2 linked regions of the Rattus norvegicus genome follow. The protein of the gene in region 2 purifies or fractionates together with the protein of the main gene of each other region. This does not show direct contact. Links are inferred from orthologs where the notes say so. Each region holds a gene or a part of one and is shown on either strand. Other genes may lie near its edges.

Region 1 (3,572 bases), on a different chromosome or scaffold from region 2:
TTCTCCACACTTCAGCTAAGAGAATTATGGGGGTAAAGGTCATGGGTACTGTCAAAACTTTCTGTGTGTTTCATCAAGTTAGTGTAGATTACTCTTCCAAACGACACCGTCCTCAGCAGTGGACTGCCGTGTTCCTCTTGGGGAAGCAAGGCTCATCTGGAGTCCCAGCACTGTACAGGGCAGAGGCCCCTGCATTTTCAAAGACTTCAGGATAGAGAGTGCTTGTCACATCTGTCAGGAAGCCAGTCAGGATTGGAAGCCTTTCTGTTTGGAGTTGCATATTATGCCTGTTCCTAGGGTGGCTATAAAAAGTCAGTGCTGTTGTGCTTGGTAATAAATATATTATGAAAGATGTTTATGATGTCTTCATTCTGACTATCTCTTTATGATCCTACAGTTCTGAGAAATCAAATTATACCTGTGTTTACATGCCCCAGGAGGGTGGGTTCACCTTAAGCCATGCTAAAGAGATAGGAGGAATAATTAATTACTCCTTTAATAAACTACTATATCTTTCTTTCCTAGAATTAACTGCCCCTAGCCCAGATCGCTATGAGCTGAGCCACTTTGGGGTTTAGCTTGGTCCGCCCATCTTTCTGACTCAACTTTCCCGGATGTTGGCCTGAACCTAAGCACACCTTTCCTGGCACATCATGTTTCCTCACTCTTCTCTGTCTGTAGCCTCCTTCCCTGCCAAGTGGCTGTCTGGTGTCATGTGGTGACTTTAATTATGCCGTAAGCAGCACGGCATGGCTTCTCTTCTCTCTGAGCAGAGGGAGGTTCCGAACGTGACTGCCGTGGGTGCTTTTCTTTCTAAGTCTAATAAAATCGCCTGCAACTTCCATTTGAAGCCATTTTTTAAAGTCTTTTAATAATGAGACCATGAACTCCACAAGGGTCCCTGCATTTACCCAGATCATCTGGTGACCATGAAGAGACTCTCTTGACTTCTGATAACATTATCACATTGACCTGTGTGCCCCTACACTGTGCTGCTTGTTCTGTCCCACACTGCAGTGCTAGTGTTCCTCACTGGTTCTCAAAAGGAAGAACTGACGTAATACAGTTTCAGAGGTGGGTTTTGTGTTCATTTTAGGCTACCTGAGGAGTTTCAAAAGGTCACAGAAATAGTCCTGCCAACCTTATTTTTTCTCGTTATGGAAAATACATAAAAATATAAACAAAGAGCCACCAAGAACGTTAGTAGCTAAAGATGCACGATGTTGAGTCCTGCTGTAATATACGACACAATATTATCTTCTAGACATGCCAATGTTGGTTTGGCACCTCGGTTGCAATAACATTGAAAAGAATTTACTGTTTTCTCTCTTTTATTTTGCGAAAAGCTATTTACTTCTCTGCAAATCATTTCAGATTATGCCCCGCAGCTGGGGATTAGCTGTTCCGATCATCTTCAGGATAAAACTACACAGGTCGTTACAAGTTTCTGAGTGATGACATGTTGCTGCTATCAGATGTGGGAACACAGATTTAAAAGCTCTGCCAACACAGAGTGGCTTTGCTTACCACACAAGCTTGGCCAACCTTCGCCTTCTACAGTCTGTCCGGGGTTTGTGTTTTTACTTTTACTGTGAGTTCTTCGCACATATTTTAACAGCTGAGTAGCACTGGGTTCACAGGCACCACAACCTCACTCCGACCCCTCCCATCCCTGCTTCGGTGTCAGCCACAGGAACAGCACATGAGAGAGAAAACAAATCCCTTTCTTCCCTCTGCTAATCTAGGCTTGTCTGGGCTGGCTGCAGGCGCAGGCATGTGGCAGACGGGCTTAGATTCAGTATAAGTACATGAGAATTAGATGAACTGATAGGCAAGCTGGCTCTCCATCTGAAACTCCACAGAGCGAGCGGACACAGAGCTGAACAATGCAAGGCGCTGCTCACTCATGGTCATGGGCCCTGGCTTCCAGCCCAAGAAGCTGGATAACTCTTCCAGCACCTTGACTTCTCTCTGCCCCTTGCTCTCTGTGTCACCCAATCACCTACTTCTCCATTGTGGGAAAAGCCCACTTTCCTCTCAAAATTCCTTCAAGACGAAACATCCTCTATGATGGTCTGTTTGTTCTTCGGACGACCCACTCTGTCTTTCAAATCTACTTTGCATTAGCTTTTCTGGTGGGCCCCTTGTCTGCTCTAATTTATTCCATTGTCTTAAAACTTCAATTGAATTTTATTTTAGGAAGGGTAATTTGGTGAATTTAGATTACTATATTGAATTAAAAGTGCTGTTCTCCCCTTTTGATATTCAAAAGTTTAATTTTGAATTCAAAATTGGACACACACTAGCTAGGGCAGAGCTAATTAGTGCCAATGGAGAGGTGACAATTTTAGAAGTAATACTTGAGTGTTTTTGAAGAAACTGTATCCCACTCTATGATAAATGTTCATATCAAGATATCTGCTAATATGACAGCTAGTCCTACAGTTCAACAGCACTAATGTCCTTATAAATGCATCTTACTTCTGACATCGTTGAGAGACTCTTGATCTTTTGAGTTCATTTGACTCCAGTCCAGCTCGAGACCCTCAGAATTGCAGGTAGCTACCATGAGGTTTACTGTAGGCGGACCAGACTTACTCATGTTGCAGAAGGAAGGACTGAGGCCACACAAGGCCACCAACCTCTACCAGGCATGGATCGGAACCAAGCCTTTACAACTGCCTCACATACACACCCTGTCAAAACTCCTCCTCTTCTTCCCAGCACTTAGTGCCTCTTCCTCACCTGTCTTTCCACAGGGGCGTAAACCCTGTCTGTCTTGTTCTAATTTTCAGCTGCTCTTCTGGTGCCCAGTACATAATTCTTTACTGGATGAATGTTTCCTCAGTCCAATCCATGAACTTCTTCAGTGTAACCCCTTATAATGACAGCTTGTGAGGGAAAGGAAGGCTAGTATTTATGTGGCTTTAAATGATAGGCCAGAGTTCAGGCCACGTCTATTTGGGGGAGACTGTGGTTCTCAAATTCTCAAAGCATCCACATTTAGAGTAACAAAAGCTGAAGATCACCGCCTTATCGAAAGGCAGCTGGGTGTAATGTTTCACTCCAGTCCATCCAGGCCTCACTGCTTGGTCCCTTTGCCTTGATTTGCAACCATAGACGTATGTGCGTATCCTGCAGGAGATTTTAGCTCTAAATGTCTGAACTGAGGGAAGTGGAAGAATGGGGGATGGTGGGGGAGGGGCGCTGCCTGTCAGGAAAGAACTACCGGGTCCTTGAGCACAGTACCTTTTCAGCAGGAAAGACATGCTGCTTCATGAACTGCTTCACCCTAGTGAGAACTTCCTGGCCTCTCCTGCTCTGTGCAAACAGCCGGCTTTTTGCGTCAGCCTGTGGTGGTACAGTACTGAGAGTTCTGGGCAAAAGAAAAGAAAGGTTACAAAGGTGTCCGAAGTCGTCATTATACATTTCTTAAAATCTCCCCAGCTATCCAAAGATATCCGTAGGAGGAGCGGCCACATCTGGGAGGCTTCGGCTCATTATTCAGTTAGCCACCAGCAGCTCCAGGGAGCAAACCCAGAGCCTTGCACAGACCAGGCAATTGCTCTACT
Region 2 (3,572 bases):
AGCCTCCATCAGACTGACATTTTCTCAGTTGCTAACTGATGCAAGGGTCCAGCCTGCTGTAATGGTACCAGCCTTGGGCAGGTAGGCAGCATTCCTCTGTAGTCTTTGCTTGAATCTCTGCTCTGACTTCCCTCAGTGCTGAGCTATGATGTGGAAGTGTAAGCCAAATAAACTCAAGGTGCCTTGGTCCTGGGTGTTTATCGGAGTGACAGAAAGCAAACTAGAATACTGTCTAATCTCGTCTCCAACTGTCTTCAATATTCTACTGCTGTAAGGCACCAGAACCCAGGTACCTTACAGAGGAAAGCATTTAACTGGGGCCCACAGTTTCAGAGTCCATGACCATCACGGCAGGAAGCATTGCAGCAAGAAGGCGAGCATGATACTGGACAGTAGCTGGGAGCTTACGTCTGAACCACAAGCATGAGGCAGTTACCTGCAAACGGAGTGGGCTTTTGAAACTTCAAAGCTCACCCTCCAGAGACACACCTCCTTCAACAAGGCCACACCCCCTAATCCACGAGGCAACTCACATGTCTGTAATTCTAGTTCCTGGGGACCTAAAGCCCAGTTCTGTCTTCTATACTGGGCATGGCATACATAAGGTGTATACATATACATTCAGGCAAAACAATCACACACAAAAAAATAGATCTTAAATATTCTTTGTAAGATGTCTTACCATAGGATCCTTTGTCTTTAAACATGACAGCATAAGAAAGATATTCAGATAAGACCAAAATCTTGGGTTTTGTTTTATTTGGGGACATGGTCTCACTCTGTAGCCCAGGTTAGCCTAGAACTTGTGATCTCCTGCCCCAGTCTCCCCTGTACTGGGATCATAGGCAGAAGCCACTGTGTCTGATGTGTTTCCCTTTCCTTCTTCTCCATCCTCCTCCTACTGTTGCTTTGTTGTTGTGTAGTTGTTTTTTGAACTAGTATCTCACTGTGCAGCTCTAGGTATCCTGGAACTCCCTGTGTAGATCAAGCTGGCCTTGAACTCCAGAGATGCACCTTTCTCTGCTTCCCTCAGTGAGTAGAGGGCCCTGGCCAACCAGAGCCAGCAGAGCAGCTGCCATGGTGTGCCTGAGTCTCCTCTCTGCTTACAGGTTCTGGGGTGCCCACCTGAGCACCACCACAGGCAGAGCTGGGAGCCAGGAAGCCTGCTGCAGTCAAAGGCAGAGGCCAGAGGCCAAGGAGAAAGACTTCAGCATTGACCACTCATCAAACCTTACTACTGCTGTGTGTTCAGGGGCTTCTTATGCTCTCTGGAGACTGAAAGAAACAAACTGGGATCACATTCAGAGAAGGCCCCTGCCTCTGCCCACCGACCGGTGACAACCCTTTTCAATGTCTTTCTTTTGTTGCTGGCTCTGTTCTATTTATTTATTTATTCATTTATTTACTTATTTATTTACTTTGGAGACAGGGTCTACTGTGCTGTCTTGGCTCATCTTTGTTTTCTGGACTAGGCTGGCCTTGAATTTAAATATGCCTGCCTCCGGCTCCTGAGTGCTGGGTTAAAGATGTTATATTTATCCACACTGTGGAAAGACAAAACCAATTCTGAAAAGATATACTCTGAACTCCAGGTGTGTCACAGTACATACACACACCCACAGGTATTAAAACTCTTCTAACAAATATTTTCAGTGAAGAGCTTTCTGTTTATTTTTTATTAATTTATTTTATGTATGAGTACACTGTAGCTGTCTTCAGACACACCAGAAGAGGGCATCAGATGCCATTACAGATGGTTGTGAGCCCCCATGTGGTTGCTGGGAATTGAACTCAGGACCTCTGGAAGAGCAGTCAGTGCTCTTAACCACTGAGCCATCTCTCCAGCCTGAGCCAAGCTTTAAATAGGAAAAAACGAGAAATACTTGGTTTTGTTTTTAACACTGTCTCACTGTGTGGTCCTGGGTGGCCAGGAACTCATTATGCAGAACATGCTGGTTTTGATAAACCAGAGCAGGACAGTCTTACTGGCTGAGAGGACAATGGCTAGCATCTGAGGGACTGAGGTATAGAATCTGAGAGCCAGAGAGCTGGAGAGAAGCAACACAGAGAAAATGACTCTAGAAAACTCTGTAGCATCTCCTGAAAGGGCGCTGCACAGCGGCAGCACTGTGCAGGCAAGATGCCTCAAGGTCGAGACAAGCAACTAACGGAGAACAAGGAACAGCACAGCCCCCAGCCTGAGTGGGCCGAGCAAACAACAGGACACTTAGCAGTGCCTGTGCAAAACCCCACACTGCAACAGGCCAAACAGCGCCCATTCCAGACCCATCCGTGACAGCGGAGCAGACTGGGCTACATTCACTGGTTGCCAAGCTCAGCCCCTTAAGGGAAACATAGTCCAGGGGGTTAAAAACAGAACCACAGAAGCAGAACAGCAACAGCAACAGAACAATGAAGCTCTCACCACCCAGGTGGGACAAAAGCCACCACACCTGTGGACAACCACACTGATGACAAGAGTGAGAGAGACGCAGGCCAGGGGCGGGCTTATCCAGAGAAATGGACACAAGAGGGTGGCAGAACACACCCTGGACAGAGTCAGAGTTAAAGAAGCCAACAGCACCAGCCGCACCAGTAGCCTCCCCAAAATCTTAAAACCGACCAATGTAGCTGTACTTACCAACAGAAAACTGGGGCACTTTAAATGGGTTTGTTGTGGTAGATACGGCCTCTGTCTTGCAGCCTAGAGAGGAGTCCTGTCGTTTTATGCTGACAGTTTTATTCAACTGACATGTCTCGGTGTCCAGGTCCACTCTGGGTCCTTTGTGTTTTGGAGTCTGGGGTTGTTGAGCAAGAGGACTTGGGGTGAGGGCCTTGGGCTGCTCTGCCACTGTCTGGGCAGCATCAGCCTTTTTGGCTTGTCTGCAAAATGCTCTGGCAGGGGCTGCTGGCAAAGCCTGGTGTGACGTGGCAAGTCCTACTCTGCCCAACTTGCTGGTGACTGACTGACGCCGGGAGCTGCTAGCGGGAATACTTGAAAGTTCACTGGACTTTGCTGCAAAAGTTGATAATCAAGGCTGGTTACTCAAGCCAGTTTCCAAACAGTTTAAAACATACACGCACGCACACACACACACACACACACACACACACACACACACACACACACAATGACACCTCTAGAATATCTAGCTAACATCAGACATACTGGATGCCCATTAGGCGATGACCGTGAGGACCAGCAGGATGTGTGAACCTGAGCTGAGTACCGTCTAACTCTCAGCCTGTGTGTGCACTCACAAGGCTAAGCTCTTCTTTCTTCGCTTCCTTGATGAGCAGAAGAAAGTGGACAGTGTAGTCGACAAGCAATGGACCTACTGTGTGAGTCCACAGTGAAGACTCAAGGGGAAACTTAAGGGAATAGTTACCGTTGTAGCCATGTCTATATGGTATGTTAGCCCTACTACGTCCTACCCCACTATCTCATCTGACTCTATGACTCTACCATAAACAACACACGGTGCCAGTGTCCTGAGTCAGTAGAGAAAGACCCACCTCACAGCTCCTGCACAGTGGCAGCCATGCATTCTCCTGATCATGTACTCATGGGC

The links. Proteins that work in one complex are often made in the same cells at the same time.
Region 1: the proteins of Gtse1 (region 2) and Acad11 purify together in Homo sapiens (co-immunoprecipitation; 3 studies listed by BioGRID and IntAct, counting the BioPlex papers as one, with this or other methods). This does not show direct contact. The link is inferred for Rattus norvegicus from reciprocal best matches to the Homo sapiens genes GTSE1 and ACAD11.

What each region holds. Positions count from the first base shown.
Region 1 is NC_086026.1:113,580,667-113,584,238, reverse strand, and holds part of Acad11 (acyl-CoA dehydrogenase family member 11), read right to left. Parts: intron 3,377-3,572; coding exon 3,250-3,376; intron 1-3,249. UniProt on the Homo sapiens protein: Acyl-CoA dehydrogenase, that exhibits maximal activity towards saturated C22-CoA.
Region 2 is NC_086025.1:118,836,643-118,840,214, reverse strand, and holds part of Gtse1 (G2 and S phase-expressed protein 1), read right to left. Parts: intron 3,017-3,572; coding exon 2,642-3,016; intron 1-2,641. UniProt on the Homo sapiens protein: May be involved in p53-induced cell cycle arrest in G2/M phase by interfering with microtubule rearrangements that are required to enter mitosis. Overexpression delays G2/M phase progression.